Linked DNA regions of Anolis sagrei. The protein of the gene in region 2 interacts with the protein of the main gene of each other region in a pairwise test. Links are inferred from orthologs where the notes say so. Each region holds a gene or a part of one and is shown on either strand. Other genes may lie near its edges. The genes, in order: ubiquitin-conjugating enzyme E2 E2 and E3 ubiquitin-protein ligase RNF103.

Region 1 (16,855 bases), about 34 Mb from region 2:
GAGACCAAAGTATACACATATTTTTCTTCTAATGATAAGGCACTTCAACGTAACACTTAAGAAAATCTCAAGCACATGTTTGCACTTTATTGTTGCAACTATAATCATCACTACTTTCATAAATAACTATATTTTGTTTTAGACGCTCAGATTAATTTAATCAGATAAATAGGAAAGGACAGATCTGCAAAAGATACCATTATTTTGTCAGATCATGACAATACATACATGTTTAAATCTGCTATTTGGTGTCTATTTCTTCATACCTGTCCCCAAATACACACACAAACACAGAGGATTCTGTTCTACACCCAATAAGCAGTAAACTAACATTCAAGTCACTTTTTATTTGAAGAAGCTGACAACAAAATATAACTGGAACAAAAACATCTTTACCCTGTGAAGTTCAACCTTTTCTATGCCAAGAGAGAATAAATAAAACAACAAACAAACTTAAAATCAACAGAGGAGTGTGAGACTGTAGCAAAATGTTTTATTGCAGTTATTAATACCACACACAATCAAGTCGCCTCAAGGTTATGTCATGGTGCAATGAATGTGTGTGTGTTTTTAAGGGACACTGCCTAAATCCGTTTTCTATTAAATTATTCCACATCTGAAAAAGGCTTTTATGTGTCTGCTAAAAGAAAAAGATGGGACCACAGAAGGGTCAAAGAGGTTAAAGTCTTTCCAAGAACACAATATAATGAAGCAGAATGTGGCCGCAAAACTATATGGGCTCTCTACAACTTTTAAATACAAATACACAGAACCACTTCACAACCTCACATTTTTCCTTCTCTGCCCTTCCACTACTTCTAAAAGAATACACAAAACTCTAGTAAAAAAACAACTAGAAAAGACAGAAATGTTTTATAAAGTAACTGTTAATCTCCTATAAACAAATATAAATTGAACTTTTTTCTGGATCTATGACGAGTAGCAGCAAGCACTTCCTGACTGTCAGAATTTAAAACAGAATTAAAGACCCATCACTTCCAGCAGGCTTACCCTGTCAGTTTTAAACTATGGGTTTAAAATGTATATATTGTTGATATGAATGATTTTGAAGTGTTTGAATCTTAGATCTATTCCTGATAATATATGTGTTTTAATGATCTTATGTTTTTATCTATGTATTTTAACTATGTTGTACCCCACTTCATGTCTTGAGAGACAGGTAAATTTTATGATCATCATCACCTTCATTAGAAACCAATCGTGGTGAAAGGATCGCGCCATTGGATTGGGGGTGGGGGGGTGGGATGCTGGTTTATAACCAACTAGGCCAGAGATTGTGATGGGGGTGGAGAAGAGAAGCAGATGTGCTGGACTGATGCAGACACAGCGTATATACAAGTCGCCTATTTTTCAATTTCCCCAGAGGGGTGGGAAGCCACATGTCACAGACATAATTATGCAGAACTGAAAATGGAAGGAGGCTAAAATGGTCACTTTTTAAAAATGTAACATTTTCTCAGGCACTTCCCTTGGAAAGGAAAAAACAAGAGAAACCGAGGCATTGAAAGGGATGAAGCTAGGAGAGAAAATGAAACCAGGGAGAAGTAGACAGTGAAAGGGTTAAGATTGGAAGTAAAATTGAAAGGAAGGCTTCAAGCAGATATGGGATGCATATTAAGAGCAGTCCAGAAGGAAACCAGGAACTGAAATTGAGGGGAAGTCAGAAATTCCCCAACATGAGATACTATTTCACAAAAGCCTATGGCCTATTCTCCCACATATCAAATTGATATGGGTTTTCAATAGGAGAAAAATGGGAAGTTGTCATATTCCCCAATTTCAGGACTCCAAGCAATCATAAGAGAGAGGAACTGGTATTATTTCTCAATAAAGAACTTATCTCACTGACTAGGGAAGTAAAAGTGGATTTACTGCACATGGACACATTGAAGGGATTACTGGCATGTAAAAGGACAAAGACAAAGAAGATAAATGCAAGCAGGACAGTGACAGCACCAAAACCTTTGGTATTTTCAGAGCAACTCTAGGTTGAGTGATTCCCCACTCTGTGTGCTACTGTAGTCACATATAGGCATTATTCTAAAAGAAATATGTTTCAACAATGAACTAGTAGGACAAACAACAGAAACAGGAAAAGTGGTAATAATACAACAGCTCAAGGGAATGGTGGTATGTTACAATGAAGAAGTTACAGGAAATCTGCTTGTTATTATGAAAAGATATATAAGGAGAGTAGCATGCAATGAACCTGTATGAATAACTCAGACATAATGGGGATTTTAGTGGTTTGGCTACTGGTAGTTTATCATCTGGGATTCTCTAAGGAAGTGAGAATCAAATGCTGATGAATTTCCACAAGATGAATTTCTCACATCAATATCACTTTTATGTGAACAGTTATGTGAGTCTAATATACACTTGTCAACCACAATAAATGAGTGGTCAATTTTCCCACATGGGATGGCATGAAAATCTTGTATGGGAGAACTGTTTTTGTCATGTGTTTGCACATATTGTCTCAGTTATATGAGACTTGTCATGTAATTCTGAGGAAATTATATTCATACAGAAAAACTGGTCAAATGAAAAGTAGTCCCAAGACTACAAAAATACTATATATTGCCATGTATTCGCAACTTTCCATTGAGTACTTATGCAGGGGAATGTGCTATTAGTCTAATAAAGGCTCTTTTCCTCCACTGAATGATGGAAATCTTGTAAGGGTGGGAAAACTACAGCCTCCAGATGTTGCTCTAGCACATCTCTAAGTAACTTGGCCAGTATAGCTAATAATAAAGAATTCCAAGAGACTGAGACCAACCCCATATGGAAAGTCACACTTCAGTATTTGCTATATTGAAAAGAATCAACATGAGACTCATGGTTCATCTACACCACATGCCTCAAACATGCCTGCAGGCCAAATCTAGCCCGTCCTCTCATTTTATGTAGCCCATGAGGCTTTCAATGCCAAGGCAACATAGTTACATTTATACAGTTTTACAATTACAAACAGCCCTTTGAAGGCAACCATAAGGATGATGTGGCCCTCGGTGAAAATGAGTTTGACACCCCTGATCAACATTGGAGAATTGATGCAATTGGACACTGTTTTAACTGCTATGGTCTAATGCTATGGAATCATGGGAGTTGTAGTTTTACAAGGACTTCAGCCTTCACTGCAAAAGAGTGCTGGTATCTCCTCAAACTGTAAATACCAAGATCCCACAGCATTGAGCCATGGCAATTAAAGTGGTGTCAAACAGCAGTGTACCATGCTACCTCAGATTCAGGGTTGAAGTGCTTCTGTTCAGAAAGTAATATATTCAGAAAGTAATATATTCAGTGAGGAGAACAACTGTGTATAAGAATAAAGTATTTCAGGTCATTTTAGGGAGCTGAGAAATAAATGGACTAAAGGCAACTATGTGGACAAAAAATGGTTTAGAACATTGCTTCTTAATCTGTCTGATGTGGGGACCAGCAATTTAAAACCCCAATGTACTAAGCCCAGTACCATATTTGTGCCCATTCAACAACTACTTTTTTTTTCTTTCCTGGAAGCCCTCCAGAGACCAGCAGCTGATGGCTCATGAACTGGCAGCAATCCACGGACACAGCTTTGAGCAGCACAGGTTTAAAGAATTAAGAACTTTGGGCATGAATAGTGAGTTTAGAAGTGGCCCTATTGCCTTGCATCTGTGACATTAACGACCTAGAATGGAAAGAGTCATATCTGAATAAATGGGACTATTGCAAAATTGGCTGCAATCCTATCCTTTGGAGAAAGGCAATAGCAGTAAGGGCTATGATCCTGTTGCAAAAACTATTTTAAAAGGGCATAGGAAGTTTTAGCAGCTCTCAGCAAACAGAGGAATTCCAGACAAGAATCAATCAGGGCCGGCTAACACCTCGCAACAAAAGATCCCACTAGGCAGCACTCAGCCAGCCTTTGAAGGTGCAAGCTGGCCAACTGCAACATTCACACTTGCCTCAAGCAGACAAGAGTTCTTTCTCCCACCCTGGAGATTCCACAGATATATAAACCTCACTTGCCTAGTTTCCAACAAACCTCACAACCTCTGCGGATGCCTGTCATAGATGTGGGTAAAATGTCAGGAGAGAATACTTCTGGAACACGGCCATACAGTCTGGCAAACTCACAACAGCAGGAAGTGGGAGAACCTCCAGAAAGGGAAATCCACTCCTAGAACAGTTATCTACTGAAGCTTTATCACCAATCCTTGTTTCCACATTTTTTAAATAAATCCAATTATTACAGGAACAAAAAGTGAGGTGGAATCTTCTGACCTGGATGACAGACAGCAAAACAAATACCATATGTATGTGTGTGCATGCCAGAGGTACACTTATAAAAGTACCTGTTCCAACTTACAAACAAATCCAACTTAAGAACCCATCTTGTGCGTAACTTGGGGACTGCCTGTATAGGGTTGCCTTTCCTGGACAAAGGAACCATTGTATTTCATAGAATCATAAAGTTGGAAGAGACCTCGTGGGCCATAAAGTCCAACCCCCTGCCAAGAAGCAGGAAAATTGTATTCAAAGCACCCCTGACAGATGGTCATCCAGCTTCTCCTTTAAAAACTCCAAAGAAGGAGCCTTTGCCCTGTGTTCAAAGCAAATACTAATGTGGGTAAAAATTACATACAATATATCTCACAATCTGAGGATGCCTGCCATGGATGTGGGCAAAACGTCAGGAAAGAATACTTCTGGAACATGGCCATACAGCCCAGAAAATTCACAGCAACCCAGTACACACACATTTTTTCATGGGAGCATCCCTAATTGCTGAGTACAGAAAGGAGGCAAAACGGGGTTCGTGACCACGGTTAGAATTAGTGTAATCTTGAAAGAATTTAGAAGGCAATTAATATTTAATACAGGTTGCCTTTCCCAGTCAAAGGAGCATTTTTATGTTCAAAGCAAATACTAATGTGGATAAAATGTACACACACACTTATGCATGTGCAGAAGGCCTGGGAGCGTCCCTAACTGCCAAGTACAGAAAGCGGGCAAAAGAGATTCAAGTTGGAATCAGTGTAATTTTTAAAGAATTGAATTTAGAAGGCAAAGAATATTTAATACGAGGTTACCTTTCCCGTGCAGAGAAGCATATCTATGTTCAGAGCAAATACTAATGTGGGTAAAAAGTACACACATGGGGTTGTTGTGAGTTTTCCAGGCTGTATGGCCATGTTCCAGAAGCATTCTCTCCTGATATTTCACCTGCATATATGGCAGGCATCCTCAGAGGTTGTGAGGTCTGAGTACACACACACTTTTGCCTATGCAGAAGGCCTGGGAGCATCCCTAACTGTCAAGGACAGAAAGCGGGCAAAATGGGGTTCAAGACCGCAGTGGGTTGGAATCAGTGTAATCTTGAAATAATTGAGTTTAGAAGGCAAGGAATATTCAATACAGGATTGCCTTTCCCAGACAGAGGAGCATTTCTATATTCAAAGCAAATATTAATGTGTGGAAAAAGTGCACACACACTTTTGCCTATGCAGAAGGCCTGGGAGCATCCCTAACTGTACAGAAAGGGGGCAAAATGGGGTTCGTGACCGAGGTTGGAATCAGTGTAATCTTGACAAAATTTAGAAGGCAAGGAATATCTAATACGGGGTTGCCTTTCCCAGACAGAGGAGCATTTCTATGTTCAAAGCAAATAGTAATGTGGGTAAAAAGTGCACAAACACTTTTGCCTATGCAGAAGGCCTGGGAGCATCCCTAACTGTACAGAAAGGGGGCAAAATGGGGTTTAAGACAGCAGTGGGTTGGAATCAGTGTAATCTTGAAATAATTGAGTTTAGAAGGCAAGGAATATTCAATACAGGGTTGCCTCTCCCACACAGAGGAGCATTTCTATGTTCAAAGCAAATATTAATGTGGGTAAAAAGTGCACAAAATGGGGTTTGTGACCGAGGTTGGAATCAGTGTAATCTTGATAAAATTTAGAAGGCAAGGAATATTTAATACAGGGTTGCCTTTCCCAGAAAGAGGAACATTTCTATGTTTGGAGAAAATATTAATGTGGGTAAAAAGTACACACACACTTTTGCTTATGCAGAAGGCTTGGGAGCATCCCTAACTGTACAGAAAGGGGGCAAAATTGGGTTAGTGACTGAGGTTGGAATCAGTGTAATCTTGGCAAAATTTAGAAGGCAAGCAATATCTAATTCGGGGTTGCCTTTCCCAGACAGAGGAGAATTTCTATGTTCAAAGCAAATACTAATCTGGATTATTTTCAATATTAAACACACACACACACTTCAGTGTGTACAGAAGGCCTAGGAGTGCTGAGTATTGAAAGGGGGCCTTGAGGAGGGCAATTGGCGATTAGAGGCCATGTAGTCTGTAGGAATTGATGTCGTCTGTGGGAGAAATTGAATGGTTAAGACACAAAAAGGGGGGGGGGCTGAGGAAAGGGGGGGGCTGGAGACGAAGGAAGGGGGCTTAAGGGAACTATTCGGCCAGTCCTGCTAAACAGATGAATAGTGGAGAGGATTAACTAGAGACTGAGGGGCTTTAGGGTTGGTTTTCCTTGAAAGGACGCCCCCCAAGTGAAGGAGGATTTGGGGGGGGGGCATCATGAGGGGATTTTTACCTCGTGGGCAATAAAGCAGGATGAAGGGGAGGAGGGGTGAAGAGAGGGAGGGAGGGAGGGAGGGAGGAGGGGGCGGTCAGTCCTTCTGGCTGCGAGAGGCGGGGCTTTTGGGTTTCTAAAATAGGGGGATACTTTCATGAGGAAGGGGGGGTTATTACCTGTGGGGGAGGCAGAGAGGGAGAGAGAGGGAGGGAGGCGGGTGGGCGCTCTCCAGCTTCGTGTCAGTCCTTCAGGCGGCGAGGGCGGGGGAGGGGGCAGCTCCTCTCCGCGGCCGGTCACTGAGGCATGTGCGCCCACCCCCTCTTCCTCCCTCCCTCCCCCGCTCGACGACGGTGACTTCTTCTCCAGCTGCTGCTGCTTCTCCTTCCTCTCTCCCCCTTCTCCTCCTTCTTCTTCTCCTCTTCCACCGCCGCCTGAGGAAAAGTAAACCCGCCGCGCGGAGAGGCAGCGCGCTCCCGACTGGGCCAATTAAGCCAAGAGTTCGAGAGGCTGAGGAGAACGGCGAGGAGGGGGCGGCGGCGAGAGCGCGCCTGCGCGTGGCCCGTAGGGAAGCGAGGCCGCGTGCCGCCGCCAGGGAGGGAGGGAGGGAAGGAGGGGGGCGAGTTAAAAGGAGGAGGCTGAGTGAGGTGTGTGAGGAAAGGGAAAGGGGGCGGGGCCAGCGGAGGGAGGGGGCGGAGTCCGTATCTCGAGTTAGAAGGGAGGCGGGAGGGAGGGGGGAAAGGGGCGGGGCTAGCGCGGGGGCGGGGCCACGCTCGGAAGGACAGAGAAGGCGGGGCCGAGAGGGAAGAAAAGAGGACACTGGGTTGTTGTGGGTTTTTTCGGGCCATGTTCTAGAGGCATTCTCTCCTGACGTTTCGCCTGCATCTATGGCAAGCATCCTCAGAGGTAGTGAGGTCTGTTGGAACTAGGAAAATGGGTTTATATCTCTGTGGACAAAGAACTCTTGTTTGCTGGAGCTAGGTGTGAATGTTTCAACTGACCACCTTGATTAGCATTTGATGGCCGGACAGTGCCTGGAGCAGTCTTTTGTTGAGAGGTGATTAGATATCCCTGATTGTTTTCCCTCTGTTGTTTTGCTGTTGTAATTTTAGAGTTTTTTTAAAATACTGGTAGCCAGATTTTGTTCATTTTCATGGTTTCCTCCTTTCTGTTGAAATTGTCCACATGCTTGTGGATTTCAATGGCTTCTCTGTGTAGTCCGACATGGTGGTCTTTAGGAAGAGCTTGAAGACGTGGTTGTTCCAGTGTGCCTTCCCAGAGTAGGAAACTCCATGCATCATGTCCCAAATGCACTTTACTAGATTAATTGCATACCGCACCTATCTCCAAAAACCTATCCATTTCACTTGATCATGTCCAGCATATTTTAAATTTTTAATCATTACATTTGGCCCAGCCTTAGATTTTAACTGTGTTGTGGTGTTATTGTTTAATGTTTATTGCTATTGCTTAATGTTTATTGCTTTGCTCTATGAGTTTATTTATTGTTGTATTTGTTGTGCTACTGTTTTACTGTTGTATTTGGCCTCGGCCTCTTGTAAGCCGCACCGAGTCCTTCGGGAGATGTTAGCGGGGTATAAATAAAGGTTTATTATTATTATTAGAGTGGTCCAGCATTTCTGTGTTCTCAAATAATATGCTCTGTCCAGGTTGGTTCATTAGGTGCTCTGCTATGGCTGACTTCTCTGGTTGAAGTAGTCTGCAGTGCCTTTCATGTTCCTTGATTCGTGTTTGGGCAATGCTGCGTTTGGTGGTCCCTATGTAGAGTTGTCCACAGCTGCATGGTATACGGTAGACTCCTGCAGAAGTAAGAGGATCCCTCTTGTCCTTTGCTGAATGTAGCATTTGTTGGATTTTCTTGGTGGGTCTGTCGATAGTTTGTATGTTGTGTTTCCTCATCAGCTTCTCTTCCCTAAGAGGACACTGGCTCTCACTTGAGAGAGAGCTGCACTCAAGATGTGAGGGGTGTGGCGGCCCAAAGCCTGAGGAGGCTCTGACTGACTGACTGATAGACTGACAGACGCAAAAGGGGGCCTAATGGCAGGGAAGGTCGCCTGAGGTGGCCTTTTGACAGGGTCACCCCATATTAGGACAGGGGTCAGTTCCCTTCAGGTGAGGGGCCTTCTCTTCCACCTCAAAAGAGTATACTGTTTACTCAACTGCTTCGAAGTTCGAGGGGTCCAAACATCCTCTTTGTGGAGGAAGAATGGAGCCCGGAGAAAGATTGAGGGCAGAGCACGAGGGCCTTCAAAGTGCCAGCAGATTTGGGTTACCATTTTTGGAGTAAAATTATGTAAAGTGCACCTCAAGTGCCGCTAAGCCTGGCAAGGGCAAACTTGGGCCCTCCAGGTATTTTGGACTTTAACTCTCACAATTCCTAACAGCCTCAGGCCTTTTCCTTTTCACTCTCAGCCACTTAAGCTGACTTTTCCTTTCCTGAATAAAATGGGGATTTTTTTGGGGGGGGGGGGGTTAGACTGGGCCACTAAGAGTGTGCATAAGTATAAACAATGTTTCACACATTTGGACAATAATAACTTCCACTTTCCTTTTGAGTCCTGTCTGAGAAGTGGGGATTGTACCCAGCTGCATTATGTAGGCCTTGTCTTGGCTCTAGGCAGGCATATAGCTGGGGGGGGGGGGGGGTCATGGTGGTCCGCGAGAAGGCCTTACTGGTACATTATTTAAACTGTTATGTTATTCATATCATGATCTGATCACCATGCTCAATATATCCCATGTACATGGGGGTATTGGGGTAACGATACAAAAGGTTTGCTAGGGTAGACCCTTTCACTCAGACTCAGCCCTCCCCCCCCCACCCCGAATCAAACTCAGCTCTCCCCCCCCCCCCCCCCCCCCCCGCGAAACAAAATCCTGACTACGGGCCTGGCTCTAGGGTAAGCAAGCAAGCAAGCAAGCCCCAAACCTCCTTATACTGTAAAAGAGAGGGAAAGTGAGTGTGCTTGCTCTACTTCATCACCAACACAGTTTGATACAAGTATCTTAGACTCGCTCCTTATCTTTGAATGCCTCATAATGGAGTGGCAGATTAACAATTGGAGGAATTGGCAGCTATTTCTTGCAAATTTGATACACTGACCTCTTTTTGTCCTGATTGGAACAGCAACTGTTTTCTGTAGTTTGCTGTTTGAAGTGCAGAAAGTTATATTTCTTTGTGTCACAATGCATACCCCAGTCATCTAGCAAAATCCCATTTTTTATCAGGAAGCTAGTTGGTACCATATACTCTGATTCATTGGTGCTTAACTTGAGAAAGGGGGGTTGGAAGGAGAGGAGAAGCAGTATGAAATAAAAGATTAATTGGACAGAACAGAGACAGTATCTTCATATATACTTCTAATTTGCTCCGTCCTATCAATTGGTATGGATGTTTTATCTCCCGTCATGTGAAGATGTTCTCAGTAGTCTCCATTCTGATTAAACTGATAATATGATGGGAGTGGAGTGAAAAGGGAAGAAAAGATCATCATGGTTTAGACTGCATATGAAGAATTTTTGACTGGGAACAGGTAGAACTGGAAGTGAGACACTGGAGCTATTCTAAAAATGGTGTGCAAATGTGACAATCAAAAACAGATATGTTTTGCCTAGGGATTATCTGAAAATAAAGCATCATGTCTGAAACATCTGGGTTTTTACTTCCAAACTGCAATGAGCATGTGTTTTAGAAGCAAAGAACAAACATAAGCATCTGTCAGAATCTAGGGTTGAGATAAATATCTATTGAACAAAACCTGTGAGCATTAAATCTACGTTTAAAGAGTTGCATATTCTTTAAACTTCTCTCTGACCTTATGAAAGGTCACTGTGTCTTAAAGTCCACAGTAAGAGCAGATGATATATTTAGTTTCTTCCTTTAGGTTCTCCTAGAAAGCCTCAACTCTCACTTTTTGCCATTCTACTCAGATAAGGGTATAGCTCATTTTTTTGATTGGAGTTAAACTATAGTACTCGCATTAACCAGTGGATAAGTCGATCCATATTTTTGGGATGAATGTTGTTCTAAAATTTCTAGACTTATGCATAGGTATACACAGTATATCAGTAATTTTTTAAAAAGTATGTATAGCTTATTGAGGATCAAAAAAGATTTACTCAAAATTAGGAACAGGAAGCTTTCTATCTTATGTTATAAGATAAAATTCTAATAAAATTCTTCCATCATGACTCTCTTTCCTAAGTTGCATGGACTTCTAGATTAGGAAGAATGTTCAGCAGAATCCTGCACTATTTGACTCTGTAATTTCATCAGTATAATATTGTCAATAGTATTACAATGCCTTCAGGTCATTTCAAACTTACAGTGACACTAAGACAAACTTATAAAAAGGCAGAATTTGTTCAGAAGGGGTTTACCCTTGCCTTTCTCTGTAGTTGAAAGAGTGTACCCTGCTCGAAGTCACAGTGGTTTCCATGGCCAAATGGGGATTCAAACTCTGGTCTCCCAGTGTCCCGACACTCAAAGGACTGTAACATGCTGACTCTCATTATAACATACCTTCCAGTTTTTCCCATGTTAAAAACTTCTTCACAAACATCTGAATGTTGTCAAAAGGGTGTGGATATGTTATTACAACATAGCACTAATGGGGAGGAAGAACACAAAAACTACTACTTAAAGCAGAGAACCATCCCTTACCTGGAATTCCAAAATACCTCAATATCCAAAATTGTCTATGTGTGTGCCATACAGCAGTACCTTTAGTTTCTAATGGTTCAAAGTTGGTGTCATCCCTTTAGACTATGTGCATAGGTGTATATGCAATATAAGTGATTTTTTTTTTGTTTACGTTTGCGTCCCATCTCCAAATCTCCTGGTGGCGCAGTGGGTTAAACCCCAGTGCTGGCAGGACTGAAGACCGAGAGGTCACAGGTTCAAATCCGGGGAAAGGCAGATGAGCTCCCACTATCAGCTCCAGCTCCTCATGCGGGGACATGAGAGAAGCCTGCCACAAGCATGATAAAAACATCAAAATCATCCGGACGTTCCCTAAAACATCAAAATCATTTGAGCATCCCCTGGGCAACGTCCTTGCAGACAGCGAATTCTCTCATACCAGAAGCGACTTTCAGTTTCTCAAGTTGCTCCTGACACGATAAAAAAAATCTCCAAATTATTTCATTTTGTGTTTATGTGCAAATACACACTTTCCAAAATCTAAAACACTTCTGCTCTTAACATGTACTGAGTTTAAGAAAGCCTGAAAAAGAAACTCCAAATCAATACATATAATTGTGTGTGTTCATGCAGAATGTTCAACAATCAATGTCATGTAATACATTATTGTAAAATCAAAATATATTTATCAGACTTTACTGAAAATTACAGCATTCTCTGACATCTGTGGTCATTGCATGAACTCTGTGTTCACATGCATGCCCTCTGCCAATGCACATTATACATCAAGTCAAATCCCAACTAAAGAAATACAAGCTGTCCATCTTAATGGAAAGATTACTGCCTACACTTTAGGTAATAATCTTTCCATTAAGATAGACAGGTTTTATTTATTTAGTGTATTAAGTATTAAAATATTGGGTATGATAGCTTCACAACACTTACATTGTAAAACAAGAGGAAATGCATCAACCAGGACATAAGAAACTGAATAAAATATATACATGCTTCTTTTTCTATCTAGATCCAAGTTTAGACATAGTGACTATCATTTAAATAGATGTATATTATTGTCGCCTTTGAACCCTCTTTCTGCTATCCATTTTAACTATAGGTCAGTAAAGCCAAGACTCCTGTTCTAAATGCATATCATTCCATTTGCACTACAATTGTTTGTAGTGCAAAAGAAAGAAAGAACAATACAATATATTGTCGAAGGCTTTCATGGCTGGAATCACTCAGTTCTTGTGGGTTTTTTCGGGCTATATGGCCATGTCACAGACCTCACCTCTGAGGATGCTTGCCATAGATGCAGGCAAAACGTCAGGAGAAATGCCTCTAGAACATGGCCATATAGCCCGAAAAACCCCACAAGAACTGAACAATACAATATATCAAATCAAGAACAATTTTAATCAACACAAACTTAACAGTATTTCAGTGAAAGACCCCAGAGGCCATTCAGTCCAACCCCCATCTGCCATGCAGGAAAAGAACAATCAAAGCACCCCCAACAGATGACCATCCAGCCTTTGAAATAATAATAATAACCCCAATGGGACTCCATAGGCCACGTGCTTCCTAGGCAGTGGGGAGCAGGAGGACCTGCAGTGTGATTCACTGACTGTGCTTCACTGACCCCCTAAGGGCTTTGCAAAGCACACTTTGAGAACTGCTGAACTAGAGGAATGTCCTTTGAACAGTAGGATTAGCCCCTCACCATAAGGGGGCCATCAATATATACAGATTTGAATTTTGGAATTCTGTATAAGAGTTCTCAACCTGTATGGGGATACAAACTTGTTATAGAAGTGTAATTGTCAAACAATATTGCATGAATGCTAAATTGTTATATCACTATTTCCACTTCTGCATTTCAGAGGTACCCACTTAACACGTCTTAGAATCAATTTCTCCTCAGGGCACTTTATAGTAGTAAATCCAGGATAGAAAAAAATAATGTCTGCCATGCACATACTTCTCAATAAATCCACATCCGCACAAAAATGCTGTATACAGAATCTGGCATTTCAAATGCTGCAGGCAGCGAGATTCATTTTAAACTGTTAATAATATAGTAGGGCAACAACCATTTTCTAGCATGTCTTTAACTAAGTAGTGTTCCTGGTCTTAAAAACATTGTTGGACAGGTTGCTATTTTACAGAAAATAAAGTATTTAGAAGACAGAGCCTTCAGTTGACAATGGAGATGTGACAGTTGCTTTGCTGGTAATCCTTGATTTGAAAATAGTGAACACCTTGACCCACCCTTGAAGTATGTTCTTAACTTCCCTAAAAATTTCAAATGTTCTTCACTTTCTCTTGATTTAATTTTAGTCCTGAAAACTGCCACAAGATACTGATATGTTAAACCACTGAGCCGAAGTCTCTCATGCGTCTGAATTCATGGTTTCTATTCAGTTTACATGTAAATTGGCATTGCTGCAAGTAAAGTTGTGAGATAATAGTTTTGGATATATGATACCTTGCATTTTTTTTCTTTTGTAATTGGTATCTCATTTACATTGGGAAAATCCCCAAGAAAATATTAATTGATTTTTGTTTTCATGTCAGGAGCGACTTGAGAAACTGTAAGTTGCTTCTGGTGTGAGAGAATTGGCCATCTGCAAGGTCATTTCCCAGGGAATGCCCAGATGTTTTACCACTTTATGGGAGGCTTCTCTCATGTCCCCACTCTGACAGATGGGAACTCACCCCACTCCCCGGATTCAAACCGCTGACCTTTCGGTCAGCAATCCTGCCAGCACAAGGGTTTAACCCATTGCGTCACCAGGGGCTCATCATGGATTTCAATAATTTTCCAGGATAGAAAGAACTTGTGCATTTGATTTCATTATTTGTTTAAAGTACTGAACCACTTGATTATACTTCTTGACAACATAAATCAAAAGTGTTCATTATCAGAAAATGCAAAAGTAAGAAGAACATACAATGTCTCCGTATTTATCTTCCTCAGTTTTCTTTTGAAGCATCCTTGGTTGCATCTCCTCTCCTCTCTTTTATGGGAAGCATTTTCACCTAAGTACCATTTGAATGTAATCACCAATGTGGAGGGGGTGTTACTTTTAAATAACAATGTGAAATCAGCCATCTTAAGTGTTGTAGAAATATGCCACATCCTAAGTGATACAAAATATATTGCAGATGGAAAAATGAATAACTTGTCTCTGACTTCCACAAAGCTCTCAGAAAATAAATCATTGCTTAGTGTCAGGAATGAAAGCTTGTCTTTATGTGCTAGTTTAAAGAGATTATAGCCAAGTAAAATAATTGCAGAAGGTGATTCCAGGATAATTTGTCTTCAGATTAACAACTACTAAATTCCTAATTCAATATGGCACTTCAAAATTTTCCACCGTCTGAGCACAAGGAGAGCATAAAATCCTTAGACAAACACATGTTCTCATTTGTATTTATTTTCTTTTGACTTAAGCAATACATTCAAAGCTCCAGGTTAAAATACATTGCTTATATGTGTTTTGTCTTTCCGTAAAGTTTGTACTAGTGGCATATTAACCTATGATAACAATGTGCTTCAGAGAAAAGGAAGTAGTTTCACAAGAAATAAGACAGATTATGTGTGGTACTGGTAGAGAACCAAGGAGGGTTTTTTTTTTTAATAAAGGGTTACTGAGCATCTGTTGAATAAATCTTTTCGGTAACTAAATTAAAATGTGAAGGAATCTTGGCAGTACTTTGCAAACCATTATCACCTTGATCTAAAGTAACTACAGGTTAATACAGCCTGCATTGCAGATCAGAATCCTGGAGCTCTACAGATATTGTTGAAGCTGTAACTTTGACTATAATAGACTATAATGATTGTGGCTGCTTAGGGTTGCAGTTCAATATCTGGTTGTTTGTGGTTGTTTGTTTCCAAGTGAACTCTGCTTTATTGTGTGATCCCATGTGGTTCCCAAGGGAATTATGGGGCAAGGTACAAACACACTATAGGAAACTTACCCAGGCACAATCAGATCTGCACTGGAAGTCTTTAAGACAAAAGTGCCAACACTTATATTTGGGGCTGAAATTTGGGGTCACATCAATTTGGCTAAGATTGAAGCCTTCCAAGCTAAGCAGCTTTGCTCCCTTCTGGGTCTTTCCAGAACAACACTGAAGGCGGCAGTAAGGGCAGAGTTAGGAATGCCCCCAGCAAAAGCTCAATCTTAATGAGACAATTCAATTGGTCAAAAATAAACCAGATTAATCCCAGCAGACTTCCTTGCCTATGCCTAGACCAGAAGTTCTCAACCTGGGGATTGCGACCCCCAGGGGGGTTGCTGGGCCATTTTCTGCGGGTCGCGAAGGTGCCTCAGTTGGCCCCGCCCCCTCTGCCTCCTCAAAATGGCTGCTGGCTTTGCAGGTCAGCTCCTCCACCTTGTCAGCTCCTCCACCGGCTGGCAGGGGTGCGAGTCAGGCGAGGGCCGCTTAGTGCAAGGCCTCCCTCGCCTCTATTGCTCTTCCACCGGCCAGCAGCAAGAATCTCCATGTAAGGCCAGGCCGCTTGGGGGATCCTCCTGTGCCCGGCTCTCACTGCCTGCCAGGCTTGCCGGAGGCACGAACCTCCCTGCCGGATCTAGGCCAAGACTCCAGAATGCACCAAGCAACAGCAACTCCCAAATGTCAAGGTATGTATATTTTCCCCAAACTTCTCCAGTATTTGATGTTGGTCATGGGAGTTCTGTATACCAGGTTTGGATCAATTCCAAATTGTCGGAGTTCAGAATGCTCTTTAATGACAGGGGAACTATATTCCCAAGCAACTGCAACTCCTAAATGTCAGGGTCTATTTTCCCCAAATGTCTCCAGTATTTTCTGTTGGTCATGGGAGTCTTGTATGCCAAGTTTAATTCAATTCAATTGTTGGTGAAGTTCAGAATGCTCTTTGATGATAGATGAACTATACATCCAAGCAACTGCAACTCCCAAATGTAAGGGTCTATTTCCCCCAAACTCCACCAGTGTTCAAATTTGGGCATATTGAGTATTTGTGCTATGTTTGGTCCAGATCCATAGTTGTTTGGGTTCACAATGCTCTCCAGATGTAGGTGAACTACATCTCCCCTAAATCACTGCCAGTTCCTCCCAAACCCCTCCAGTATTTTTTTGTTTGACATGGGAGTTCTGTGTGGCGGTCTCAGTGGTCTGTGGAAGTCAGAACTGAATTGGTTGAAGGTACTGCAAATCCTATAATCAGTTTTCCATACTCTGCCAAACATATTTTTTCTGATTAATCACAATGTTTTAATCATGTTGAATTTGTAACAATGAAAACACATCCTGCATATCACATATCTACATTACGATTCATAACAGTAGCAAAATTACAGTTATAAAGGAGCAACGAAAATAATTTTATGGTTGGGGTCACCACAACACGAGGAAGCATATTTAGGGGTCACGGTGTTAGAAAGGTTGAGAACCACTGGCCTAGACAATCAAGTCCAACACGATCAAAAGACATTATGGTTAGTGGCTCTAAATAATAAGTTGGCTAAAATCGGCCTGCCTTTACAATTTCTGAAAGATCTAGGACCTAAGGCAAAACAAGTGCTCATGCAACGCACTCAAGA
Region 2 (16,913 bases):
ATTGTTCATTATAAGTTAAGCATTTTGAAAACATTAAGCTTTTGGTGAGTTATAGTGCTCCTTGGTGGTTATTGCTGCTAAAGAAGACACCGGCAGGAAGACACAGCATCAGAAATAGGGCTATATCCTATTTACTCAAATCTAATGCTCACCTTTTAAAGGCTAAATTGCCTCACCAAAATTAGGGTGAACATTAGTCACATAATACATAATAGTAATCTTAATGCTGAGCCAAAGCAAATGGGGAAGCTGCTTCAGAAGCACCTGGAACTCCTATTTAAGGGATGTCACCTCACTTTTAATGGCCACAGCTCAATGCTATGTAATCCTGGGATTTGTAGTTTGGTGAGTCATCAGCATTATTTGGCAGAGAAAGCTCAAGAACTTGTAAAACCACATGATTTCATACCACTGACCCAGAGCAGTTAAAGTGGATTCATTCTACAGCATACATGCACCCCAAGTTTTTATTTTTCATTGCAGGAAGCTTTCGTGCTCGAACATATTTGTTTTTAAAGAAGCAATTCTAAGCACGTCGCAACGGCAATGTACCTTTTTGGCCAAATTACAAAGAGTGCAATTTTTGCCGCTGTGCATTATATTCAGCAGCAAATTTTGTTTTAGTTTCAGGCAGGCATGTAGCCGGGGGGGGGGGGGGGGATTGAGGGGCTTCATCCCCCCCCCCCCGAAATTCGCATGGTGGTCCGCGAGAAGGCCTTACTGGTACATTATTTAAACTTTTATGTTTATTCATATCATGATCTGATCACCATGCTCAATATATCCCATATGCATGGGGGTATTGGGGTAACGATACAAAAGGTTTGCTAGGATAGACCCTCTTTCAATCAGACTCTGCCCCCCCCCCCCGAATCAAACTCAGCTCCCCCTCCCCCCCAATCAAAATCCTGGCTACGGGCCTGGTTTCAGGGTTTTGAAAATTGAATTGCGAATTAGATTTGATGGTGCATTAGTCTCGAGTAAATATGATATTTTCCATAAAAATAAAAATGTGACTCTTCTATTTCAATCCACATATCTTCTATTTCAATCCACATATTTATCCACTAATCCAACGTTTGACTGAAAATACATATTCCACTAAGTTTAATGGCACACCTTTAAATCTAAGTTTATATATTCCAGGTACCCAACACTTTAGTGCCTTTTCTGCTAAATTTAGTTTTAGGTTAAATTTAATTATGTGTAAATTGTCTCTCGGTTATTTTACACACTAGACTTTCCTGTTTTATTTAAATTATATCACTCATTCTCTGACTTACTCCCTGAACCCACTTCACAGCTTAACAAGTTCCACAAAGGGAGCTATTTTGCATTTGATCCTCTAATTCCGAAATTAGTTCCATTTCAGAATTCTTGTATGGACTTGCCTACAACTCAGTAGATTAACACTAATGCTCTATATCACCATTTTCCAGGGTATTCAGCAGATCTTAAAGGAACTGCCAGTGCATGCCTATTAGGGATGAGCATTTTTTTCATTAGTCGTTGTAAGTCACATTAAATTTGTTAAATTTTTACTTGCAATGTGATATCCAACATGCGGGCATAGCCCGTGTGAAAAACTTAAGAACTGAAACTTATCCAATACTTTTTTTGTTTGAATTTTGTAAATCTTGGAAGCTTCCTAAAGTCAGTTTCATTTTCAGAACAAGGAAGCAAACCCAAAAAAGCTGCAATTCCTTTTAAAATTAGTAGCCTCTTGCCATTAGGCAAGGTAAGCAGCAGGGCAGGGAGAAAGCAGAGTTTGCTGGGAAAGAGACTAAGGAAGCACAGAATTCTGGGAAATATAGTTTGGGAAGGTGAGGAGCCCTATGTCAGAGAATGCACAAGGCTCTGCCTTAAACTACATTTCCCAGAATTCTGCTCAGCATCAGAAAGCCCCGATCAGGAGAGGAGAGAGGTATTTCCCTTCATAGCAGCAGCCAGCCAGAGTTCAAGAAATTGTTGAATCTTCAAAGAGAAGGACTAACCAACATTTCTAATAAGTAAATCTTTGTGCTAAGCTGGGAAGAAATCTCTAAATGGAATTGGTTAATATGAAAGACATTCAATGAGATGGCTGTTGTGACCCCAAACATTTTTGTCAAAACTTTTTTTAAATCCCTAAAATTAGTAGATGTATGAGTATTTCTTAAAATTGGGGGGGGGGGGGGGGGATGATCCCCTGTTATCTTGTGTCATTGTATAGAAAATTCAAGGAGATAGCTCTTGTAGTATTGGCTAGAAAACCTGCCAGAGCAGGTTTTTGGGGAGTATAGAGTGGCAGGTGGGAGAGGAGGGGGAGCACATCTATACTAACCACCTAATATAGGTTGCTTTGGAACTGATTTGAGAAAAACTGTTTTTTTTCTGTGCTAATGATTAGACTGACAAATCTGTAATAAGTTTGAGGCCAAGGAGGTGATTACATTAACCACAGAAGGTGGCCTCAAATCACTTCCAGAATCTGCAGTATCCCATTGGAGAATGTATCCCATTGGAAAATGTATCCCCCGCCTCTCTTCATTTCCAGTTGAGAAGGTGAGAATGCCAGATGTGTGACATTTAAGAGTGAAGGTAATCAATTACCTGTCCAAGGGGGTCAATTATCTCCTTGCTGCCTAGCTATAGCTCTGGGGTGTTTTTGAAGTTCCCAGAATTTTAAAATGTGCTCCAGTAAGGGTGGATGTCTATAAAGAGCTTCACAATCTGCAGAGCTGTTTTTGTCATGCTATGTGGTTTAGATTTAGGTCTCAGTGAAGCGCATTAATTATATTATTAGTGTAGATATGCCCAAGAAAGTTTCACTGAAAACAAAAAACATAATGTTGAATTTAGTCCTAAGATTCATTTCTGGAACAGGTAGGCTGTTAAACTTATCATCTGTCAGTACTGTGATTCAGTTTCAAGACAGGAGATAAAACATGAGCTGCTTTGAACACTAACTGGCAGTTAAAGAAACATCTATTTTTAAATTGTACTAAATTTTAGATCAAAAAGGAAATTTCAAAATAAGCAATAACTAAGCAAGAACAAAACTTAAGAGTGTGAGGAATCTTTATTTTTATTAACATACAAATATAAAATTTAAGTTTAAAATTTCATTTAAAACTAATTTCCAAAACCAATCACATTTTATTGTTGACCACATAATAGTATTGGGATAAGACTAGATTTTAGAGTTGCCAAGAAGAAACAGAGTTTAGCCTTTAAGTCCAGACAACTAGTTTGCTCACATCTATCACAACATTTGCATCCTCAAATCAACTAAATTGATTCCAGTTTGTTTAACTGTTCAAATTATTCAGTGGCATGGAGCCATCCATTTTTTCATAACAAACAATACTATCATGCAGAGGATCATCTGACATGAGGCATTCAGCTTTTGTGGGCGGTCTTGTGCTCTTAACCTCCATGAAAACTACATATTTTTTAAAAAAGGAATTTTTAAAAACCCGAAGAACATCTCTCTGGGAATCTCTATGTCCTCCAGAGCCATTCTGTGCACAAATTGATAACATATTAATCAAATCCACAAGTAAACCTCAGAAGTTAAAACCGCAAATGTGAAGAATTTACTATGTTCTGTCACTGTTAACAACCATAGTATGACTATATGAATTTGAAAATACTGATTTTCAAGATTCTACAGCCATATTATGGAATGTGTGAACCTGTACATCATATTCTACTCTTTTCTACTCTAACTGCCACAAGTGCAGACTCTTGAAGGAGCACTTCAAAAATCTGTTACACAAGTATATCGTAGTCTCAACTTCTTTGTGTTTCCCTGTCTTTTGAACAGTCCCCCTGACCAATTTCCAATTCTCTGACTTTCTAGAAAGTGGCAATCCTAGTGTGAAAGGCAGACCAATGGCCTGGTTCATTATAAGGCACTTCCCTATGTTCATAATAAAATGATTAAGCCACCCAAGATGTATGCAGGGGCTGAGAGCCAGGATTGCTATTTACACAATTCAAGTTTTAAGGAATTATTATATGAACAGACAGAGAATCGTTATGTACTTGCATGCTTTTTTAACAGCTCAGTGCATCTATGGACATGAAGTCATTACTCAGTCATATTAATTTATCTCATCTGACTATTACTGTTGGTAGGCAAACATTTACATGACCAAACTATTATTTATTGCATTTGTGGGCATCGATTTATTACACCTAAGTGTTCACAGTCAGTTTGAAAGTATGCTTAGAAGAGGATTTCAAAAAGATGTTTAAACAACTACACCTCTGACACACCTCACTTTGCAAACAAATCTTAACAACCAAGGAAACTGTTACATATAATTTCTCTGAAAATGCTTCCATTTCCTAATTGTACTGAACAGTATGTTATATTGAGATGACTTATCTTACTACTGAGCAAGACCCACTTCTGTGCAAATATGCTGAAGTCTGCACTGAAAAAGATCAACAGTGTGAACACTTACTTATATGGAGGTCAACAGGATCTACTGTAAATTGCAAGTAAACGTGCAAGGAATTAGACTGCAAGTAGTCTTATAATGCTACTACTTAGGCTTAGCATAATGGTTACATTTTCTGAGCAGAAACCAAAATCAAAGTAGGCAATAATGAAGATAAGTCACAGTAATAATCAATTTAAGGTTTAGAACAGGTGGCAATTCTATTTTATAATTTTTCCTGGTGCTGTTCAGATAGCACCAGATGATGTTGTCATACTCCTTGATCATTTTCATTTGCACATGGAATTTGTTTTTTCTGTACTGCTGTGAAGAATGTCAGTCATATTCCAGCAATTCTCCATGAAGAATCTGGGTGCATTTCAACCTTTGAGCTCATTCCTGCTATTACTAGGAATCTTAATCTAGCATTACTCCCTACTGAGCTTTCTTCAAGTACTTGATATTATGTGATAAAAGCATTTGTGCATATTCTGCTACAGTTAAGTAGTTTTACACACTGGACTTAATAGCCTTACCACCTACTCACATACAGAGCTTACTTATTTCAAAATGGTACGCCATGCCTGATGCATTTCAGGATTCTTCTGCTCTTTTAGCCAAGTGCACTAACATTTTATAGGAGAGCTCTCCAAACTGAGTGTCGCGAGACATTAGTGTATTGGTTGCAGTGTGTAGGTGTCGCACGAATGAAACAAGAAATCTCTGAGTCTGTGTGAAATAAGTGATACTAACTTGCATACACATTTATGCAGGAAAGGTGTTGATTAGTATTAGCAATGTTATTAATCATAGAATAGTAGAATCATAGAGTTCGCAGAGACCATAAATTTATTTATTTATTTGCTTTATTTTTATACCGCATTTTTCAGCCTAGATTAGGCGACTCAATAAAGGCCAGTCCAACTACCTGTCATGCAGGAAAAAAAACAATCAAAGTACTTATGACAAATGGCCATCCAGCCTCTGCTTAAAAACCTCCGGAGAATGAGACTCTTATTTAGAGTTTTATTTCTAAATGGCAAAAATCTTTGACATAGATATTATTATCTTACAAATCATATATTTAAATATATATACATAAAAGTTTTCATGAGACATGTTGTATCCCCATACTTTTTGTTACTACAATTTATGTATGTATCCATGCCTCTTGTTAGAGGTTGGTTTAACCTTCAGTTTGCTGAAAAACTGAATTACTGTGTCGCAAAATGATGTATGTCTAAAAATGTGTCAAAGAGTATGACATATCATCTAATTCTAATGTTTCCGGAGATGTCCCACTAAGAATTATAAAATGAAATGTGTCATTTGTTCTAAACCTTACATGGATCATGACTGTGACTTATCTTCATTATTGCGAACTTTCATTTTAGTCTCTGCTCAAAATATGCAAGCATTATGCTAAGTCCAAGCAACAGCATAATAAACCTACTTGCAACTAATTTCTTGAACCAAAAGGAAAACCTAACAGAGGCTCTAAGGTCCAACTGCCAAAAAGTCCGGATTATCAAAGTAGAGGATCACTATTATCTGCTTTGAACTGGATTATATGAGGCCCCTTCCACACAGCTGAATAAAATCCCACATTATCTGCTTTGAACTGGAATATATGGCCGTGGCTATATGGCTGTATGGAAGGGTCCTGAGTCTATACTGCCATATAATCCAGTTCAAAGCAGATAATCTGGATTTTATATGGTAATGTATAAGGGCCAAGAGAAGGAATCAGCAATGCAAATAAACAATAAAAGGTGGGGGAGGAGAGAACACGAGCAGAATGCTGACAAATGGATATTTCCTTACCTGACTTCTCGACCAGTTCCCTGACATCCTTCTTCTCCAGAAGCCCAGAATAGCCAAGCCCCCGGCACTCCAGGATGGTCTTCAGCTTCTTGAAGCTCAGGGCCACGGGGTCCACCAACTGCGTGGCAAAGAAGCCCGTCTCGTACCACACAATGGCCTCAAAAAACCTGGCCAGGATGAAGAGGACCAAAAAATACAGCAGCAAGAAAAACAGCTTGAGCCACATCTTGGCTGGAGGGTTTCTCTCTTGACTCTCTGGGGAGAGTCAATCAATCCTACAAAAGAGACAGAGAGAAATGTCCCGATGGAGATGGAGGAGACAAAAAGTGGAAAGGATTCATAACAACGCCCAGGGTCTCTTTTAAAAGATCCTAATAGGGAAAACTAAGGAGAAAAGGCTAGGGGACATTTCAGACCCACTGGGGGTGTGGGCAGGCACAAAAATGCGAGTAAATTCCTCTCTTGGGCATTGCCAAACGAATGAGAAAGGAGAGAGAACTCTAGTAGCGGGATGAAAGTGGGAGGCAAGGTGTGGACCCTGAAAGAAGAGGGGGGCTGTCATTGAAGGAGGAGGAGAGGTTGGAAAAGGGGAAAACCCTGAGGGAAAGGAAGGCTCTTGAAGAGAGAGAGAGAGACCAGAGACTCGTCGCCTTCGTCGTCGCAGAGCCCCAGTCGAAGGAGACACAACAAGTGACGTCTATCGCCGGCGACAAGCAGAGAGGGGAGGGGGGAGAGAGAGGGGAAAAGCAAGGCCGCAGCCTCAGGAAAAGGCGTGAGGGGTAAAAAAAGGGAAGGCCGCACTCCCTTCTCACTGAAGAGTTTTGTCTAGAGACTGAGGGGGGGAGTCCTTTTTCTGGGGACTCCCATTCCCAGAATTCCCATTCCCAGAAAAGGGACTCACTCCCCCTCAGGTTTTCGTTAGCCTACCTATTCCCTCATCTTCCAAAGTCTTCTCAGGCCGCAGGCCGCCGCCTCTCTCGAGTTGCCTGGCTGCCTTCGGACGCGCTTCCGGCAACTCTGCCTCCTTCCTTGAAGCCCCGCCCCTTCCATTGAGCGAAGAGGGAGGGAAAGGGGGAGGAGCCAGAGAAGGCTGAATGAATGCAGTTTGTGATACTCCTTGGACTGCCCTGGCTCAATGCTAGGGAATCCTAGGAGATCTAGTTCTCCTACGCCTTGAGCTTTCCCTGCCAAGAAGTGTTGGCACCTTAGCAAACTACAAAGCCCAGGGTTCTCTAGCGTTGAGTCATGACAGTCAAGATTGGCGTCAAACTTCATTCCTACTACATAGAACTACTACTACTCTTGCACTTTATCTTGCACTTTATTGGACAGATGGCAAACTATTTAACCTCAGCATACTGAAAGCCAAAACCAAGGTTACAACAACATCTGTTATAGAACTCCAATATGCTGATGACAACATCATCTGTGTGCATTCAGAAGAAGACCTACAAGCCACTCTAAACACCTTCGCAGAATCTTGGTCTGTCATTGAACATCAAGAAAACCAAAGCGCTCTTCCTGCAGTCACCAGCCAATCTCTCCCCTCTGTTGTTTAACATTTATATGCGACCACTTGCTCAGCTGGTTTGAGGTTTTGGGCTGGAGTGTTACCAGTATGCTGATGACACTCAGCTGGTGCTGAGGATGGAGGGCAGACCAGACTCTGTACCCGATTATTTTCATCAGTGCCTCGAGGCCGTTACTGGATGGCTGCGTGTCAGCAGGTTGTGGGTGAATCCAGCAAAGACGGAGATCCTATGGCTGGGTCAACCGGGCAGTGGGGACATCCAGCTGCCTACCCTGGATGGATGGAGCCCCCGGTGGTGCAGTGGGTTAAAGCACTGTGCTGACAGGACTGAAGACGGACAGGTCGCAGGTTCGAATCCAGGGAGAGGCGGATGAGCTCCCTCTATTAGCTCCAGCTCCTTATGCGGGGACATGAGAGAAGCCTCCCACGAGGATGATAAAACATCAAAAAATCATCCAGGCATCCCCTGGGCAACATCCTTGCAGACGGCCAATTCTCTCACAACAGGAGCGGTTGCTCCCGACTGGACAAAAAAAAAAAACCTGGATGGTGAGGCACTACGTCTGTCATCATTGGTAAAGAGTCTGGGAGTCCTTTTGGACCCTCTGCTGACAATGGAGGCCCAGGTCTCCGCCGTTAGCAGAACCGCCTTTTTTTATCTGCGGCAGGCTAGACGGCTGGCCCCCTACCTGTCCAGGGACGACCTAGCTATGGTGATCCAGGCTACGGTCATCTCAAGACTGGACTACTGTAATGCCCTCTACATCGGCCTTCCTCTATCGGTGATCCGGAAGCTCAAGTTGGTACAAAATGCAGCTGCTCGGCTTCTTGCGGGAATTCCGATGAGATGCCACATAACACCAATCTTACTACAGCTGCATTGGTTACCAATTGAGCACCGGATCACTTTCAAAGTGATGGTACTCATCTTTAAGGCCTTGCATGGTCTGGGGCCGATGTACCTGAGGGACCGCCTCACCCCCTACCAACCCCAGAGATCCCTCCGTTCTGAGGACCAAGATCTATTGGAAATTCCCAGTGTCAAGACCTTGCGTCTAACAGCAACCAGACGCAGAGCCTTTACAGCAGTGGCACCATCGCTCTGGAATACTCTGCCACCTGAAGTCTGTGCCTTGTGGGACCAATCAGCTTTCCGCAGGGCATGTAAGACATATCTGTTTCGACAGGCCTTTGATCTCTGATATTGTTGTTTTTAAATTGTTTTATATTGTTTTAAATTGTTTTTAAATTGTGTTAGATTTTAGACTGTTCTTGTAAGCCGCTCCAAGCCCCAGGGAAGTGGCGGCATATAAATTTGAATTATAAATAAATAAATAAATCCTACTCCAATGCCAGAAATGCAGCTTAATGGTGTAACATTAGAAAATGTTGATAATTTCTGCTACCTTGGCAGCCACCTCTCCACAAAAGTCAACATTGACACTGAAATACAACACTGCCTGAGCTCTGCGAGTGCAGCTTTTTTCCGAATAAAGCAGAGGGTGTTTGAGGACTGGGACATCTGTAGGGAGACTTGTTTGATTATAATGCTGTTGTCCTCCCAACCCTGCTATATGCCTGCGAGATATGAACTGTCTATAGACATCACATGCAACCCCTGGAATTATTCCATCAGCGCTGCCTCCCTGTGGCCGGTCCAGCAGACCAAAGCCCCCTAAACTCAGAAAAAAAGAAAAGAACTCACCCGGCCTCCCTAGAACGGCTGCCAGAGTTCTCCTGGTGCGTACAAATGACGCGCCAGGAGAAAGAGTGGAGGAGCGATTTTCTTTGCGCACCCCTCCTTTCTCCTGGTGCGTCATTTGGCTTCCAGGGAGGGGGGGGGGGTTAGTGTCCCAATGTTGTATTGGGAAGTCCCAGAACAACAACTGGACACCCACCACAGAAAGCACGTGCTTTCTGGAGTGGGTGTAGACAGCCTCCTAGGGACATCCACGTTTATTAAACGTGGATGCTCCTGGGATAAAAGCATACTTGAATCCGTCCCCACTTTTTAAGCTACTTTAAAAAATGTCAGTCTACAGGGTATTATAGTTTTACAAGGTCTTTAGCCTTCTCTATGAAATAGTGCTGCTGCCTCGCAAAACTATGGGCCCTTCCACACAGCCATATAACTCAGAACATCAAGGCAGATAATCTACAATATCTTCTTTGAGCTGGAGTCCCTTCCACGCAGCTGTATAAAATCCACATAGAACTAGATTAAACACCAAGGTGGATTCAACCCAGTTCAAAGGCAGGATTACTTGCCTTGATAATTCTGGGTGATATGGCTGTGTGTGTGGGCCCTTCCAGAGAGGTCCTATATCTCAAGATCTGATTCCAGATTTTCTGTTTATCCCAGACTATCTGGCAGAGCAGGCTCATATAATCTAATTTAAAGCAAAAAACCCGGGATCAGATCCTGGATATAGGGCCTGTCTAAATCCACTCTGCCATATAATCCAGTTCAAAGCAGATAATGTGGGATTTTATACAGCTGTCTATAAAATGTACAACTCACAGGATTTCATAGCATTGAGCCAATTAAAGTAGTTTCAAACTGCATTAATTCTTAAGTGTCAATCAATCCCAAGTTTCAACTTCTTCCACTTTGTTGCTTTTCCTTCAGCTTATTTCAACTGGTGCAAACCTATTCAAAGTGCAAAAGTAGTTTGCACAATTTGGCCTCTTCTATACTGCCATATAAAATCTAGATTATCTGCTTTTGAAATACAGCAATTTAAAGCAACCATAGATAGTGAGATCTGAGCCATTGAGAGCGAAACCTGAAGCGTGGATACCAAGTCCTGATCAGCAGTTACCAGTACCGGCAGTGCGCTGCCCTGTAGGTCTGTTCACCTGGCAAAATGAAGAAGCTAAATCAATGTTCCTAATAAAGAAATCTCACCAAGTTGAAGAAGCCACCAAGGTTTTTTATTCAAGTCAGCTGAAGTGGATGCTAATTCGCGGTAGTTTACCAAGCTGAATACCACTGCAATGTCAAACATACATTTTTATAGACAGAAAACCTTTTAATTTCCGGCACCTGCCCCAGCTGGAATCAGCTTCACTGTGATTGGCAGAGGCCCACTGATGTCACAATCAGCTGGGTGGGATTCCCTGATGAGGCAGGACTGCAGCGCTAACCAGCCAATTGGAGAGCATTCCCTGCTTCCAATACAGATTCCCACTATCCAATGGCTGGGGGGGGGGGGGAGGGCAGACAGGTTTGGGAGACAAAGGATTGTCAAGTACTTTGAATTAATCACCATTGTCGCACCAAGGGACAGAAAAAAGAGGGGCTATCAAGTCCCATGAATTTTGTGAAAGTCTTTTGTGAATATGAGTGACCCAATAAGGTGTGTCTGGCACCCACAGTGCCCATGTCCATTGTTTCTCCTGCAGAGTATTGTCCAAAGTGATGGGATTAAGAATCCAGGCCTGGGAAAATGGTGCATGACTTTCTAATTGTTGGGATGGTCATGCCAGGGGATAGATGTCTTTGTAATGTCCAAGTAGCTGCACAAAGGACAGGTGGCCTAAACTCCGGATTCCTGTTGCCTTCTGCACAGCTGGATTTATGGGGCCAGTAGAGGTGGACTGGCCCCGAGGGTGATTGAGTCCTTTATTTGATGCGATGGTGCCCAGGAAAACTGCTGGAAGGAGTTCCTGTGTCATGAAGTGCTGACGAAAGATCACCAAAAGGTCTTGGTCGGTGGCATACTTTTCCAAAAAAGAAGTTTCATATAAGGATATAAAATATATACATTAAACATGTACAGAATAAAGATCCATGGGGGCGGGGGCTGGTAGAGTCGTTCAGGGAGACATAAGGGTGGTCAATATGGGAAAAAGAGAGAGAACAAGCCCCTTAACGGGGGGCGAGGTCGTCTTGGGGCCACGTGGGCCCCATGGCTCTTTGGCCACCAGAGCTGGCTGTGGAAGGCAAAAGGAAGAAGACTCGGGACGCAAAAAAAGATACAAAGAAGCAAAAGTAGAGGATAACGCACTAGGATGCATGTTTATTAGGGGTTAGGGAGCAATATAACTACCAAAGAGGAAAAGATTGTTTCAAAAAGCATCCTGCCGCAGTCCCAGCGAGAGAATAGCTACCGCTGGGCAAAACAGGAATATATTATTTATGTACTTAATTTATATCCCATCCTTCTCAATCCTGCAGGGGACTCAGGGCGGTTTACAACAAAGGCACAATTTGATGCCACTTAAAACAATCTTTTTATTCAATTACATAAAATAAAAAGGGGGGTATCAGGAGGGATTGAGGTGGAAAAAGTAATAGGGTAAGAAGGGAAATGGAGGGGGAGTATAAGGGGGGAGTCAAGGAGAAAGGGGTGATTGAAAAAAGAAAGAAGTAGAAAGATGGGGTCCAGGAAAAAAGGGAAAGGGTGAAAGGATTTTAGCTCCCTATCTTCTAATTTCTGGGATATACCCTCTCCTTTCCGCTCTTCTTATACACTACATCCTCTTCTTCCGAAGTTGTGGGGGTGAGTACTCTTCTCCCCATAGCATTTATATCCAAATTTAATTTTTTTCTTCTCCAAGCTGCTGTTGTTTTATTTTGATTACATCTAAGTTGTTGTGTCAAGCTGTCTATGTTTCTAACTTCTATCATTTTGGTTAACCATTCTTTTAAACTAGGGGTTTCTTTTATCCTCCAATATCGAGCATAGACTATTTTAGCTGCTGATGTTAAATAACTAAATAGCACCTCTTTATTTCTGTCTCAGTCAACATCTAAAATACCCAGTAGGAAATACTCTGGTTTGATGCCACTTTTAACATAAAATAAAACATATAAAGTCAGTAATTTAAAACACATAATCTTGAAAAAATGTTATATCAAAAACCACGCAGTCCAAAAGCATATTCCAAGAGCTGTTCCATAAATTGCACTATTCAATAAGGTTCTTGCCAGCTGCAGCTTGTCCCTGCCGCAGTCCCAGCGAGATAATTTAATTATTTTAATGGCCCAGGGGAGTTTGGGGGGTGTTTTACGTTTGACTATTCTTTGAACTGGATTCTATCGCAGTGTAGACTCAGATAATCCAGTTGAAAGCAGATCATGTAGATGATCTGCTTTGATAATCTGGATTATATGGCAGTGTAAAAGGAGCCGAAGTGGACAGGTGGTACTGCCTGGTTTTCAAAACAGCAGGACAGTCAATATTCATGATATGCAGGGGTAACAATCAGGAAGCGAATACGAACAAAAGCCTGTATATTCATGTATATTGTCAAAAATATATGATTTGTAAGATAATAACTTCTATTTCCAAATTGTTATTATTAACTTTATTTGTACCCCGCTAGCATCTCCCGAAAGACCTGATGCGGCTTACAAAGGCCAAGGCCTCAAAACACAACATAACAATACACAACCTAAAGCAAATTAAAAACAGTTAAAGCAATATTAAACAACAAGCAATAAACAATACACCAAGACACAATAAAACTGGGCCGGGCCAGAGTAATGGGTACAGATTAAAAGTGCTGATGTGGCAGGTGATATGTAAGGATTATAGGGTAAATGCAGTGTGCCAGCAATCTTAATTTCTAATAAAGTGCTTATGGGACTTGGTATTGGAGATTTCCTATTCTGGAAAGGCACATCGGAACAGCCAGGTCTTCAAATTCTTTCTGAAGAAAGCCAACGTAGGGGCCTGTCTAAGATCTTTGGGGAGGGTATTCCAGAGTCGGGGGGCCACCACAGAAAAGGCCCTGTCTCACGTCCCCACCAAACGGACCTGCAACGCAGGCAGAATCACGAGCGGGGCCTCTCCGGATGAACGAAGTGAGTGCGTGAGTTCATAAACAGAGATTTCCAAACAATGTGATGCGGCGGGGAAAAAGCCAATGGGATTTTGACCTGCAATAGTATAGTGTCGAGATCCAGGGAAGTCATGCTACCCCTCTATTCTGTCTTGGTTAGACCACATCTGGCATACTGTGTGCAATTCTGGGCACCACAATTCAAGAGAGATATTGACAAGCTGGAATGTGTCCAGAGGAGGGCGACTAAAATGATCAAGGGTCTGGAGAACAAGTCCTATGAGGTGTGGCTTAAAGAGCTGGGCATGTTTAGCCTGAAGAGAAGGCTGAGAGAAGACATGATAGCCATGTATGTGAGAGAAACCAACTGATCCCTAACCCATCTAAAACACAGACGTGCGCCTTTCACCTCAAGAACAGACAAGCATCCCGAGCTCTGAGGATTACCTGGGAAGGAATCCCACTGGAGCATTGCAACACATCCAAATACCTGGGAGTCACTTTGGACCGTGCTCTGACCTACAAGAAGAGCTGCCTGAACATCAAACAAAAAGTGGGCACTAGAAACAACATCATACGAAAGCTGACTGGCACAACCTGGGGATCACAACCAGACACAGTGAAGACATCTGCCCTTGCGCTATGCTACTCTGCTGCTGAGTACGCATGCCCAGTGTGGAACACATCTCACCACACTAAAACAGTAGATGTGGCTCTTAATGAGACATGCTGCATTATCACAGGGTGTCTGCGCCCCACACCACTGAAGAAATTACACTGTTTAGCCGGTATTGCACCACCTGACATCTGCCAGGAAGTTGCAGCCAATAGTGAAAGGACCAAAGCAGAGACATCTCCAGCTCATCCCGTTTGGGTATCAGCCAGCACGTCAACGACTTAAATCAAGACATAGTTTTCTTAGATCTACAGAGACACTCGCTGGAACACCCCAGCAAGCGAGAGTCCAAAAGTGGCAGGCCTAAACCCAGCACCTCAATTCATGGGTGATACCAGATGAGAGACTCCCCCCTGGACACACAGAAGACTGGGCGACTTGGAAGGCGCTGAACAGACTGTGCTCTGGCACCACGAGATGCAGAGCCAACCTTCAGAAATGGGGCTACAGGGTGGAATCCTCGGCATGTGAGTGCGGAGAAGAACAAACCACTGACCACCTGCTGCAATGCACCCTGTGCCCTGCCACATGCACAATGGAGGACCTTCTTGCGGCAACCCCAGAGGCACTCCAAGTGGCCAGATACTGGTCAAAGAACATTTAACCAAATACCAAATTTGCAAAATCTGTGTGGTTTTTTTTCTCCTTTTTCTTTTTCCTTTTTCTTTTTAATCTGTGTGTTTGTTTTGCTCTGTTAGAATTGTAATACAATGGTTGCTGATGACACGATAAATAAATAAAATGTGAGAGGAAATCATAGGGAGGAGGGAGCAAGCTTGTTTTCTACTTCCTTGGAGACTAGGATGCAGACAATGGCTTCAAACTACAAGAAAGGAGATTCCATCTGAACATTAGGAAGAACATCTTAACTGTGAGACCTGTTTAGCAGTGGAACTCCCTGCCCTGGAGTGTGGTGGAGGCTCCTTCTTTGGAAGCTTTTAAACAGAGGCTGGATGGCCATCTGTCAGGGGTGATTTAAATGCAATTTTCCTGCTTCTTGGCAGGGGGTTGGACTGGATGGCTCATGAGATCTCTTCCGATTCTATTTGTGTAAATTTGGGCCTATATATAATCCACATTGAACTCGATTATATGGTACTGTGGACTCAGATAACCTTGTTCAAAACAGACATTGTGGGATTTTCTGCCTTGATATTATGGGTTATATGGCTATGTGAGAAGATCAGAAGTTGAGGTCGAGTATCCGCTTTTTCAATTGTGAGGCCCACAAGCTGTTTTTCTATCGCTAGCCAGCAAGCGACGGAAGTTAAACCAATGGCGGGAAGACCCCGAGGAGTCACTTCCGCTTTCCAGCCTGTGTTTACTCATTAGACCTCACATATAAACAAACAACACCCCCCCCCCCCTTTTTCCCACACTGTCTGTCAAAGCTCTTGACGCAAAAAGTCCGAAATGGGCAGGCAATGAGGGACTCCAATTGGAGGCCAGTCTTAGGTGCCTGAGTTAATGCCTGACTTGAATACGCAGAGATGTGTTTATCTAGTGTAGAACAATAGACTGAAGTGTAGATTCACACACAGTTCTCCACTTTTGGGTTCATTGAAAGGACTTTCCAACTGAAATTATCCTACACTTTGGGATTTCCCTGATATGGGCAAACTTCTGCCCTCCGGGTGTTTTGGACTTCTAGATTATTGATGTGGCCATACCAGGTGACAGTTGCATTGAGGAAAACCTCATCCGTTATCAGGACCTCAATATTGAACTGCAAAGGCTCTGGCATAAACCAGTACGGGTGGTCCCAGTGGTCACTGGCGCACTGGGTGCCATGCCAAAAGATCTCAGACGGCATTTGGAAACAATTAACATCGACAAAATCACGATCTTTCAACTGCAAAAGGCCACCTTACTTGGATCTGCGTGCATCATTCGGCAATACATCACACAGTCCTAGATGCTTGGAAAGTGTTCGACTTGTGATTTTGAGATACGAAATCCAGCATATAGATCTCGTTTGCTGTGACATACTGTGCTTTTGTGTCAGTATAATAATAATAATAATAATATTTATTTATACCCCGCCACCATCTCCCCAAAGGGACGGCTTACATGAGGCCAAGCCCAATAATACAATTACAATAAAATGGGTTGTAGGTTTTTTCGGGCTGCATGGCCATGGTCTAGAGGCATTCTCTCCTGACGTTTCGCCTGCATCTATGGCAAGCATCCTCAGATAATGTTTTAATGTGTATGGTGCTGATATTTTAATCGTGTAATGAAGTGGCATTGTGTTGTTATTGTATATTTTTTGTATGTTAACACATGTTGTGAACCGGTCCGAATCCCTCTTTGAAGGTGAGAGGGTTGGTATATAAAACCTCGAAATAAATAATAATAAATCAGAGGTAGTGAGGTCTGTTGGAACTAGGAAAAGGGGTTTATATCTGTGTGGAATGACCAGGGTGAGACGAAGGACACTTGTCTGCTGGAGCTAGGTGTGAATGTTTCAACTAACCACCTTGATTAGCATACAATGGGCTGACTGTGCCTCGAGCAAACTTTTGTTGAGAGGTAATTAGATGTCCCTGCCTGCTTCCTCTCTGTTGTTGTGCTGTTTCAATTTTAGAGTTTTTTAATACTAGTAGCCAGATTGTGTTCATTTTCATGGTTTCCTCCTTTCTGTTGAAATTGTCCACATGCC

Evidence for each region.
Region 1: the proteins of E3 ubiquitin-protein ligase RNF103 (region 2) and ubiquitin-conjugating enzyme E2 E2 interact in a two-hybrid assay, tested with the Homo sapiens proteins (2 studies listed by BioGRID). The link is inferred for Anolis sagrei from reciprocal best matches to the Homo sapiens genes RNF103 and UBE2E2.

Annotation. Positions count from the first base shown.
Region 1 is NC_090026.1:86,087,641-86,104,495, forward strand, and holds the start of ubiquitin-conjugating enzyme E2 E2, read right to left. Parts: upstream 7,221-16,855; 5' UTR 6,775-7,220; intron 1-6,774.
Region 2 is NC_090026.1:52,480,744-52,497,656, forward strand, and holds the start of E3 ubiquitin-protein ligase RNF103, read right to left. Parts: upstream 7,307-16,913; 5' UTR 7,182-7,306; intron 6,530-7,181; 5' UTR 6,481-6,529; coding exon 6,255-6,480; intron 1-6,254. UniProt on the Homo sapiens protein: Acts as an E2-dependent E3 ubiquitin-protein ligase, probably involved in the ER-associated protein degradation pathway.